Kluyveromyces lactis: one gene and its partners. The protein of the gene in region 1 purifies or fractionates together with the protein of each later gene. This does not show direct contact. Links are inferred from orthologs where the notes say so. Each region holds a gene or a part of one and is shown in the gene's direction. Other genes may lie near its edges. The genes, in order: KAP95, PSE1 and ULP1.

What was found.
Region 2: the proteins of KAP95 (region 1) and PSE1 purify together in Saccharomyces cerevisiae (affinity purification with mass spectrometry; 4 studies listed by BioGRID, with this or other methods). This does not show direct contact. The link is inferred for Kluyveromyces lactis from reciprocal best matches to the Saccharomyces cerevisiae genes KAP95 and PSE1.
Region 3: the proteins of KAP95 (region 1) and ULP1 purify together in Saccharomyces cerevisiae (affinity purification with mass spectrometry; 6 studies listed by BioGRID, with this or other methods). This does not show direct contact. The link is inferred for Kluyveromyces lactis from reciprocal best matches to the Saccharomyces cerevisiae genes KAP95 and ULP1.

What each region holds. Positions count from the first base shown.
Region 1 is NC_006038.1:508,922-513,038, forward strand, and holds KAP95 (karyopherin beta), read left to right. Parts: upstream 1-1,245; coding exon 1,246-3,831; downstream 3,832-4,117. Other genes in the region: long-chain fatty acid transporter ACB1, read left to right, coding at 98-124, 202-438. UniProt on the Saccharomyces cerevisiae protein: Importin beta subunit that functions in nuclear protein import through association with the importin alpha subunit, which binds to the classical nuclear localization signal (cNLS) in cargo substrates.
Region 2 is NC_006039.1:1,223,598-1,227,873, reverse strand, and holds the start of PSE1 (importin PSE1), read left to right. Parts: upstream 1-1,471; coding exon 1,472-4,276. Other genes in the region: KLLA0_C14190g (CBS domain-containing protein), read left to right, coding at 1-825. UniProt on the Saccharomyces cerevisiae protein: Functions in nuclear protein import as nuclear transport receptor. Serves as receptor for classical and arginine/glycine-rich nuclear localization signals (cNLS and rg-NLS) in cargo substrates.
Region 3 is NC_006042.1:1,013,138-1,016,714, forward strand, and holds ULP1 (SUMO protease ULP1), read left to right. Parts: upstream 1-1,354; coding exon 1,355-3,022; downstream 3,023-3,577. Other genes in the region: KLLA0_F10978g (uncharacterized protein), read right to left, coding at 1-651; MutS family protein MSH4, read right to left, coding at 3,077-3,577. UniProt on the Saccharomyces cerevisiae protein: Protease that catalyzes two essential functions in the SUMO pathway: processing of full-length SMT3 to its mature form and deconjugation of SMT3 from targeted proteins. Has an essential role in the G2/M phase of the cell cycle.

The sequences.
Region 1 (4,117 bases):
AAATCAAGAGAAGCTTTACACATGGTACTAAACGAAGGATTTGTGAAAGACAAGTGTTAGTTCAATACGTCAGATATCGACACTCACTCAAAACACAATGGTTTCTCAATTATTCGAAGAAAAGGTATGTGGAATCGTTGTTGCAATGGCTTTTGATTTCCCTTAATAATCATACTAACCGCATCTTACATTTATCTGCAGGCTAAAGCTGTCAATGAATTGCCATCAACTCCAAATAACGATGAATTGTTGAAATTGTATGCTCTATACAAGCAAGCAACCGTCGGTGACAACACCAAGGAAAAACCAGGCATGTTCAACTTGAAGGACCGTTACAAGTGGGACGCCTGGGAATTGTTGAAGGGCACTTCCCAAGAAGATGCCGAACAACAGTACATCGAATTGGTTGACCAATTGATCAAGAAATACGCCCCATAGAGCTGGATGGTCTCGCAAGTTATTGCATCATCTAACTAACTATCTATATCTACATATATATTATCCTTGATCCATATAGCTAATGATAATACCCTTATTACTCGGTTTGAAACACGAATTACAAGTCACGTGAACAAGCTAACGCCAACTATTTACCCGGCTATTTGCAGTTGAGTGGCAAAAAATTCTTTCTTCCCTAGCAGTATATAAGTTACCCTCCGTTAAACAGGAGCACGATCCCTATTTTTCTCTTCATTTATGGGGTTCATACATTGTTTTCTAGGCAATATATCCGGGTAACAGACTCTTTTACTTTCCATCTGATTCCACTCCAAATCGTAGCACAAACGCGCTTTACAAGATGCTACACAGCTTTTTCTTATTTTTTGCTTATTCCCAAGCTTCAAAGAATTTCTTTCCTTCACATCTATTTATCAAACAAAAACAACTAGAAAACATTTCGTAAACAAAAGAACTTAGGATCCAAGAAACAGGGAAACATTTCACTTTGTATCCTTGCGTTTAGGTGTCTTGTGCAAGGGAGAACGGTTCGTGAGACACTTGATCGAGAGTTCATACTCAGAAACTCGTTAGTAGGCGCCGAATAATTACAGAATAAAGGAAGATCTAACGTCGCTATTCGATATACTGATACTTTTATAAAGTGAACCAAGTGTGAAAATTTATTATTTGCCGTTTGCTGTTGCAGTTCCTTGTTTTATTTCTATAATTTTGGAGACTGACTATTGAAACGACCCGCTAGGATTTGGAAACACTAGTAAGTTATAATACCCTTTACAAATCGTTATGTCAGCTTCCGAGGTTGCCCAGTTTTTGGAAAACATTATCATTACTCCGGACCCAACGGTCCGTCTTCAAGCGGAGACGACGTTGAAGAAATTATCTAACGATAATTTCTTGCAATTCGCTGGACTTTTGTCTCAGATCTTGGCCGATGTGTCCGTTCGTCTTGAAGCTAGAATTCTAGCAGGTTTGACGTTGAAGAACGAATTGATTTCGAAGAACCCAACAAAGGCCCAGCAGTTTGCTCAACGTTGGTCTACGCAAGTCGATGCAGAGTCTAGACATCATATTAAGCAGTTTGCGTTACAAGCGTTGGTTGATCCAGAGACTCGTGTTGCCAACGCTTCAGCTCAGTTGATCGCTGCCATTGCAGAGATCGAATTGCCATTGAATCAATGGCCAGAGTTGATGAAGATTATGGTAGATAATACCGCTCAAGAACAACCAGAAAATGTTAAGAGAGCTTCCTTGTTGACATTGGGTTATATCTGTGAAAGTGCAGACCAAAGTGATGAAACTTTAATCAATCAATCGAACAACATTTTGATCGCTATCGTTCAAGGTGCACAGTCGAACGAAACTTCTAAGATTGTCAGACTTACCGCGCTTAATGCATTGGCTGACTCGCTTGCATTCATTAAGAATAATATGGAACGTGAGGGTGAAAGAAATTACTTGATGCAAGTCGTATGTGAAGCTACCCAGGCTTCGGATGAAGATATTCAAGCGGCCGCATTTGGTTGTCTTTGTAAAATCATGTCACTATACTATTTCTACATGAAACCTTACATGGAACAAGCTCTATTCGCTTTGACCGTGGCTACTATACAATCATCCAATGAAAAGGTGGCAGCAATGGCCGTTGAATTTTGGTCTACCATCTGTGAAGAAGAAATTGATATTGCTTTTGAACTGTCACAGTACTCCAACCCAGGCTTGGAATCTTACAATTTTGCTCTAGTATCCATCCAAGAAGTGGTGCCAACTCTATTACAGCTTTTAACAAAGCAAAATGAAGATCCGGATGATGATGATTGGAACGTGGCAATGTCTGCTGGTGCTTGTTTGCAACTATTCGCTCAAAACTGTGGTAACTACGTAGTAGAACCTGTCTTGCACTTCGTTGAACAGAACATCACCAGTGACAATTGGAGACAACGCGAAGCGGCTGTGATGGCTTTTGGTTCTATATTGGACGGTCCTGACAAAACTCAATTGACTAGTTTAGTCCATCAAGCGTTACCACCTATCCTCAACCTAATAACGGATCCAGTTTTGCAAGTGAAGGAAACAGTAGCATGGTGCATCGGCAGAATTGCAGACTCAGTCGTTGCTGCTATAGATCCTCAAGACCATCTTTCTGATGTTGTAAACGCTTGTTTGATCGGGTTAAAAGACCATCCAAAAGTGGCTACCAATTGTTCTTGGACGATTATCAACCTTGTCGAACAATTAGCTGATACCCCTTCTTCTCCGATATACAATTATTATCCAGTTCTTGTTAGCGCATTGCTTGAAGCTTCAAACAGGTCAGACAATGAATATAATGCTAGAGCATCTGTATTTTCTGCTTTGACTACTTTAGTAGAGTTCGCTAATGACCAAGTCGGGGAAACTACTACCTCAATTTCCACTTTTGTTTTGGATAAACTTGGACAAACAATGCAAGTGGATGAAGCTCAATTAACAGCTGAAGATAGACAAAACTTACATGAATTACAATCGAACATTTTATCTGTTTTGGCTGCAGTGATTAGAAAGAACCCACAATCTGTTAATCCAGTAGCAGATATGTTGATGGATCTATTTATGAAACTTTTGAGCAAGAATGATACAACATACGTGGAAGATGATGTCTTTTACGCTATTTCTGCTCTAGCATCTGCGTTGGGTAAAAACTTTGAAAAGTATTTGGAAAGTTTCTCCCCATATTTGGTTAATGCGTTAAATCAAGTACAGTCCCAAGTTTCTATCACTGCCGTCAATCTAATTGCTGATATCTCTAACTCTTTAGAGGATGACTTCAAGAAATTCGCTCCATCGTTCATGAGTGTTCTTGGGCAAATGCTTTCTTCTCCAGATGCGAAGAAGGAATTACAACCTGCAGTCCTTTCTGTTTTTGGTGATATTGCCACCAACATTGGATCAGATTTTATACAGTATTTGTCCCAAGTTATGTCCGTGTGCGTCATGGCTCAAAACTATAAACCGAATTATAGCTCTTCTGATGCCCTCGATTATCAATATAAATTATACGAATCAATATTGGACGCATACGTAGGAATAATAACAGGGCTACACGACCAACCAGATGCATTGTTTCCTTACACAGGTTCAATTTTCCAATTTATCAACTTATTGGCTGATAATCCAAGTGTTGCATTAGAAGATTCAATTGCAAGAACAGCAGTCGGTATAGTGGGTGATATTGCTGCCATGTACCCAGACGGAAGGCTCCAACAATTCTATACACAACCATGGATGATTAAGTTTGTAAAGGACGTGAAAACCAATCAATCCTTTTCTCAAAACACTAGAGATACAGCAAGGTGGGCAAGAGAACAACAAAAGTTGCAATCTAACTTGTGATTCTTTTCATTCGCTCTTGTTTGCCTGCCTACTATTAATAACAATACACTGACTTCCACAGACAACTCACTTGCATAATTCACTGCCTTTGACAGTTTATTCACTCCAACCACTGTTCATTGGATCTATGGACGCCAGTTCCCTCATCCTTTTTAATATAAAGAAGTCGACCAGTTCAAATTTCCTTTGATCCACTACTATCATTCTCATTACTCCTACTACTCTTATTCCCTACTCTTCTACTACTTACTACTCTCTTTTATTCTCACTATTGCACTACTTATTA
Region 2 (4,276 bases), on another chromosome or scaffold:
TCACAGTCTGCTATTGAAGAACCTTATTTGAAGATAAATTCGGTTGACTCTCCCTTGGGTTCTTTGCTTGTAGAGAAAGATGTTGATGAAAACTACAGGACTGGATCAGCATCTGAGCTAGAAGTTCCTTCTTTATCTATAAATTATTTTTGGAAATCTTTTGATGCCTCTGATAATGAAAGTGCTTCTTCTAGTCAATTATCTTTGGTAGATTTAACACAAACAATAGGTAACTTTAGCTCCCACAAACAGTTACAACAATCGCAACTTCATTTGCAACAACAACATCAACAATATCCTTCACAATCACAGCAACCGATCCCAGAACAGTTTTCTGGAAGAAGAAGCTCCACATTATTACAAAAAAAATTCTTCGAAAATGGAAAACATACCAAATTCCGATTGAAAGTTACCGTCGTGAAGCCTAATAAGGATAATCAAGTTCTAGGCTCTATGAAATTCAAGACTCAGTCCGGAGTAAACTTTGAAAAAGACGTCTTAAATGAGATTGTAGCCAAAGTGAAAGAAACTTATGGAATCGAATCACCGTACTCCATTGAGTACATGGATATCGAGATAAAAACTAATGAAAAATTGCATCAAATTTATGACGAGTTCATTGTTATGCAGGGCTCCCGTCACTATATGCCTTTGCTTTTTATTCTGCATGATAAGCAGTCAGGTGTTTTCCACCACCTACGTCAGTTTTTTAAAACGATGGCAACTCCATTCACCGCAGTGTTTCATACTTCCTCATTGAAGATATACATGCAGGCATGTATAGTCTTCTTCGCTGGTTTTATGGTGGGAAAAGCTTTAAAATGAAACATTCGGGGAAGTTACTGGTTATCCTTGCCATATACCGATGTATATAGATTATACATTTCCACTCATAATTCTTTCTTATTAAATGAATAAACAATTGGCTGCCAAGAAAAAAGAAAAGAAGCACTAGAACATCTATCAGAAATACAAAGCAAATATGGAAATATATTCACATCAATTAACCGTTTCCTTCTTCTGCTATATTAAGAACACTGTCCAATGACAGATGACGACGATCTTGATATTACAGAGAGCACCACTATGTGTTACCCGCATATCACTATGGACGATGCACTATTAGTTTGACCTGCCAAATTTTTCTTCCTTCTCTGTTCCTGTGATTCCAAATTATACATGAAAGAACAATTCGTTCTAAGATCAGATATTTCAGATATATTGAAAATTGAATAGTAGTACATTTTATGTTACAGTTACTGGTTTTTGCTGAAGTTTTAGCATTGAACATAAGTTCGCCTTCGTTGCAATCAGTATATTTTGACGGTAGGAAAATTGAGCTTGTAAGCAATAATCTCTATTGAGGGAGAGAATCGAAAAGCTGATAGCAGTATAGTTTACTTTGTTTGTTCTTTGTTCTTCTACTATCCTTTTCCTTTGAATCATTTTTTGTGGTGGCTGATTCGAAACAATGTCAGTTCTACCGGATGAAGTGAACAGCACCTTGGTGAAGTTGCTACAGGGCTTTGCATCACCAGACAATGCGATTCGTTCGGCGGCAGAAGATGCTTTGAATAACAACTGGATTACACCGGAGCACATCGAAGTTTTGTTGATGTTTCTAGCGGAACAATCTGCATATTCTGATGATTTGACTACTGCAGGTTTGTCTGCAGTTTTGTTCCGTAAGCTAGCTTTGAGAGCGCCACCTTCATCTAAGACTATAATCATTGCCAAAAATATTACCCATATTTCGAAGGAAGCCTTGAAGCAAATTAGAGATACACTTTTGAAGGGTTTTATCTCCCAAAGACCCAACAATATTAGACACAAATTATCTGATGCAATTGCAGAATGTGCGTTAGAAGAATTACCTGAGTGGCCTCCGTTACTCCAAACGTTATTCGAAGCTATCAAAAACACAGATCCAAATTTCAGAGAATCTAGTTTCAGAATTTTCTCAAGTATGCCTCATCTAATCAATTCCATTGACATCAACCATGCTTTGCCTATCTTTGAGAGTGGATTCACGGATCCTAGCGATGAAGTCAAGATTGCAGCTGTTACAGCGTTTGTTGGGTACTTCAAACAGCTTCCAAAGAATAACTGGGCCAAACTAGGTGTTCTATTACCAAGTCTTTTGAACAGTTTGCCAAAGTTTTTGGATGACAGTAAAGATGAGGCCTTGGCCGCCGTATTCGAATCATTGATCGAATTAGTTGAGTTGGCTCCTAAACTCTTCAAAGATATGTTCGATCAAATTATCCAATTTGCAGATATGGTCATCAAGAATAAAGATTTAGAACCGAGTGCCAGAACGACTGCTTTGGAGTTGTTAACTGTCTTCAGTGAATGCGCCCCTCAGATGTGTAAAAATAATCAAAATTACGCCCAATCAGTGGTACTTGATACCCTTGTCATGATGACTGAAGTTTCCATCGATGATGACCAAGCAATCGAATGGCAAAATTCGAATGATGTAGAAGAAGATAATGAGGAAAATACCTACGATATGGCACGTCAAGCTTTGGATCGTGTTGCCTTGAAATTAAACGGAAAATACTTGGCCGCACCTTTATTCCAATTCTTACAACAAATGATCACATCTTCTGAATGGAGAGAGAGGTTCGCAGCATTGATGGCGTTATCATCTGCTGCAGAAGGTTGCCGTGATGTATTAATGATCGAGATAGATAAGATTTTGGAAATGGTTGTTCCACTGATCGATGATCCACATCCAAGAGTTCAATACGGTTGCTGTAATGTATTGGGTCAGATATCCACTGATTTCGCTCCTCTCATTCAAAGCACTTCGCATGAAAAAATTTTGCCTGCTTTAATCTCTAAGCTCACTTCAAGCTCTGTCGACAGAGTTCAGACCCATGCAGCGGCTGCCTTGGTGAACTTCTCCGAACAAGCTACGCAATCGATTATGGAACCTTACTTGGATAGTCTTTTAACTAACTTATTAAGCATGTTGCAAAGTTCCAAGCTGTACGTTCAAGAACAGGCCTTAACTACTATCGCATTTATCGCAGAAGCAGCCGAAAAGAAATTCATCAAATACTATGATACATTAATGCCATTATTGATAAACGTGTTGAGAACCGATACAGGTACTGAAAGCAGAGTCTTGAAGGGTAAGTGTATGGAATGTTCTACTCTTATTGCATTAGCTGTGGGCAAAGAAAAGTTTGCCTCCTACTCTCAAGAATTGATCCAGTTATTCATAACTTATCAAAATGAAGGTATTCAGGACGACGATCCTCTAAAGACTTACCTTGAACAAAGTTGGAGTAGAGTTTGCAGGATTCTTCGTGAGGATTTTGTTCCGTTATTGGATGTAGTTATTCCGCCACTACTTGAAACTGCCAAGGCTACCCAGGACGTTAGTTTAATTGAAGAAGAGGAAGCTGCAAACTACCAACAGTATACAGATTGGGATGTTGTGCAAATTCAAGGTAAGCACATCGCTATTCATACTTCAGTTTTAGATGATAAAGTGACTGCTATGGAGCTTCTACAAGTTTACGCCACTGTGTTGAAAAGTTTCTTTGCATCATACGTTAAGGAAATCCTTACAGAAGTTGCCGTCCCATCTATTGATTTCTACTTACATGATGGTGTTAGAGCTCGTGGTGCTACTTTAATTCCTGCTTTGTTTACCTCTTTGGTATCGGCTGTAGGACAGGACAACGATATCGTTTTACAATTATGGCAAATTGCATCTAATAAGCTAATTTCTGGAATTATTTCTGAACCGATGCCAGAAGTTACTAAGTCGTATCACTATGCTCTTGTTGATTGTTTGGGAATTGTCGGAAACAACGGATTAAATCAAGAGCAATTGTCACAATTTACACAAGGTGTGAACAATAACTTAACCGACGTCTACGAAAGAACAAAATCCCGTTACGATCAGGATGACGAATACAACGAAGATGTTGATGACGATCTTGATGAGTATACCGATGAAGATTTGCTTGACGAGATTAACAAATCTTTAGCTGCTGTTTTCAAATCAGCAGGTGTTTCTTATCTACAGCAGTTCCAGACTTTATGGCCAATAATACATTCATACTTGCAGGAGACTGAGGTATTCATTTTATTGTTCGCCTTGATTGCAATTGCTGATATGATAGAATACACTGGCGATAACTCTGCACCTTTCAAACAGCATTTCGTTCAGAAAATTAAGGAGTGCCTCACATTCCCTGAACCCTCCATTCGCCAGGGTACTGCATACCTACTCGGAGTATGTGCACAATATGCCCCC
Region 3 (3,577 bases), on another chromosome or scaffold:
CATTTCCGTCGATATTTGCCTCCATTTCGTACCATATTTCTTGACCTTCGCTATAAGTAGAAGATCTTCCGTCTCATCCCAAGGTCGTAGTCGGTCTTTAGTACTGGGATCAAGCACTTCGATGTACCTCTTCGCGCATTGGTCTTCAGTTCTATTCTCTAAAACGTAGGAAATCTTAAACCATTGCGGACCATGGTGTTCATATGATTTTAAGAGAAGCTCATCCTCCTCTGGTGTCCATTTACCTTTCTTCAATACAGGATCTAAAGAACTAGTCCATCTCTTTTTCACATCCGTCGCTTTCTTATTATCCAATTCGAATTGCTTGGCAAGCTGATCCCAGGGAATTTTTTTGACAACATTACTAGATTGCTGAATTGTTTTAATAGATTTGATACCATCCGGATATCCCAAATTTACTAACGATTCGTTAACCAATTTTCTAAGCAGATCATCTTCTTCTTTGGTCCATATTTTCCTCATCTTTCTTCTAAACGTTTGATACCCTAAAGATTCTGAAACCTCAAGAGCATTGACTGGTTCCTTCTTAACTCTCTTCCTCAAATTGCTCATATGCTCCTCTGACATATCACCCGAATCGTCACTCACACTGCTAGCTACAGTTCCTTTCTCACTCGACGATTCATTCATATTCCAGTCAAAATAGATACTTGATCCAAGATACTGATTTCTTGATAGAAAAGTCAAAAAATTAGACTGAAATCAAGTTTATTAATTAACACCAATTTTACTACTTCTCAACCAATGTTTTTGAGATTGTTCAAAACTTTATAGCAAGTGTATCTCGATATTTCCGTTATGACTGTTAGTACAATCAATAGATGACGATAACGATAAACTTCTTTTTGTTTCTGTTAATGATATTTTGGGTTGAAAACCAAGTTGTAATTTAATACAGCTCTGAAACTGTCTACACAGCCTTGTATCTGCTGTGATATAGGCGCTGTATTCACCGTTTTCACTTCGCTTGATAGATACCCTGAGAGATACTCTACATAGTTATGATGTCAAATTTGAGTAATCTTAGTCTGGCAAATTTCTTTATTTTCTTTTTCAGGCAGAAGGGCCCTGGCAGAAATTTTGTGCACGTGATAGTATCCGGGTAATGTTTAAATAAGTATACATTTCTCAACATGGATTGCATCTCTGTCGAAAAGCTGCTTTCAATTATCAACAATAATAACTTCAGGAACGAAGAAACGAGGTAATATATGGTAACTTACAGGCTACATGGCAGCTGAAATACTAGTTTTGAGTGTTAGTTTAATTATTGTAACCGAATCATTTGTTAAATTCTAACTTTCACCACTTATATGAAACTGGCGTAGAAATAATGACGGTATCGTATCATCGAAAAGGGTTTGATGACATTAGTGATTATTCCAGATCAACGGTGATAACTGCAGATGTCTCTTCTAAACCATACTATTTCGACCGGAAAGGTATCAAAGATAGTTTAAATTCTGGTAATGAAGCACGTGATAGAGGTAGCGAAAGTAGGTGGAAATCGTTGGGATATAATACTGTCCTTTCAACTCTTTTTGATTCAGCAAAGACATGGTTTTCCTGGATTGATCCTTTGGAGCAAGAAAATGGGAAAGATCGTACCATTTCCAACACTACTGGAGCAAATTACGACAGTTTGAAAAGAGGAGTTGATGAGGAGTCGACTCCGAGAAAGAAAATTCATTTAGACTCACTGCTCCAAGAGAAGGAGCATTTAAGGGAACAGTTACAACATTCAATTACTCCAACGAAAGAAGTGTTGAAGTTACCTAAGGATCCTTTCCATTGGGATAATACTAATGAAGAAAACTATACAGAATCCTCACCTACAAGAGTACAATATGGAACTAGACTCTATAGAAAACTCAAGCATAAGAACCAGCAACAGCAGTCCACTGCATTAATTGCTAAACCGTCCGATGAAGTATCATATTTAAAAAATTTATTCAACGGAGAATATCATGTACCGATTGAGATGCAAAAGGAAAGGGAAAATCAGCTCAAACTTCTTTCAAGAGATAACAGCCACAGCAGCAATGCCAGTACAAACAGTAGTAATAACAACATTGTAAGGCTTACAGAAAGGATTAAGGCTTTAATTTTGGAAAACAGGAAATCAATAGGCCCAAGTACCGAAAGAGGATCTACAACTGATGACATAGTCATAATAAGAGAGCACAAGCTTGATCCATTAGAAGAGAAAAGGAAACAGATCTACAATCAGACGTTGAAATTTGATCGTTCTCTCCTTACTTTTGAAGAAGAGTTCAAAAGCTATTCTCAGTTGATTGAAGAAAGAAGGAAACTAGTAGAGCAAGTGAGGAAAACCGCCAAACCACAAAAACTGATACCTGATCTATCAACTGAAGATTTATCGGAAGTGAAAGCAACTTTCAATAGGTCTGATAACGCTGTTCTTTCATCCAAGTATATGTTGGAAGTAACTGTGCGAGATTTCAAGACATTAGCCCCTAGAAGGTGGTTGAATGACACAATCATTGAGTTTTTCATGAAGTATATCGAACAAAACACTGCCAAAACTGTTGCATTTAACTCATTTTTTTATTCTACTTTAGCTGACAGAGGCTATCAAGGTGTAAGAAGATGGATGAAAAGAAAGAAGGTTGATATTTTAGATCTTAATAAGATCTTCGTTCCTATCAATTTGAATGATTCTCATTGGACATTGGGTATAATAGAAATGAAGCAACACAAAATTTATTATCTTGATTCTCTTTCTTCTGGAATGAATTCGGTCAGTTTCCTAATTATGAAAAATCTCCAGTCTTATGTGATGGAAGAAAGCAAACAAAAGCTTGGTGAGGATTTCGAACTTTGCCATATTGCTTGTCCACAGCAGCCAAACGGATTTGACTGCGGCATATATGTTTGTCTGAATACACTTTATATGAGCAAGGATTACACTTTGAGCTTTGATTCTAAAGATGCAGCAAACATGAGAAATTACATAGGTCATTTAATATTAAGTAAATAGAATTAAACTCTTTTCGTTGACGAATACTAAAATTTGCTATTCTTACCACTTGTTTCAGACTATTTCAAACGTTGAAATGAAATCATCTTGTAGACTTCGCAACTCTTCAATGTCAATTGTTTTTTCATGATTACAAAACGCTTTGAGTTTTTGTACTAAATAATAAACCTGTTTGATTTGGGTAGTTTGACATGCATTATCACAAGAATCTTCCTTTGCAATGATTTTCAAACCTTTTCTTTTGCTAGCTCGAAGTAATTCCGATATTTTGTATGCTTCCAACATAATTCTTTCACTGAAAATTCGTTTACAAATCATCATACCGTATCCTTCTATCTCTTCTGATTCTGTGGAGGCTTTATATTTCATTTTGAGATGTGATTCCTGATCAATCTCAGTTTTCATCTCAAGATGTAAAACACGAGGCTTTGGTGCCAATATTTTAGGAATATCTCTGAAATGTGTCGATAGAAATACAGTAGCATTTTTGGAAAGGAGATATTCCGATATAGCCAAAGCTATAGAGAACCCATCTGCGATGCTTGAGCCACGTCC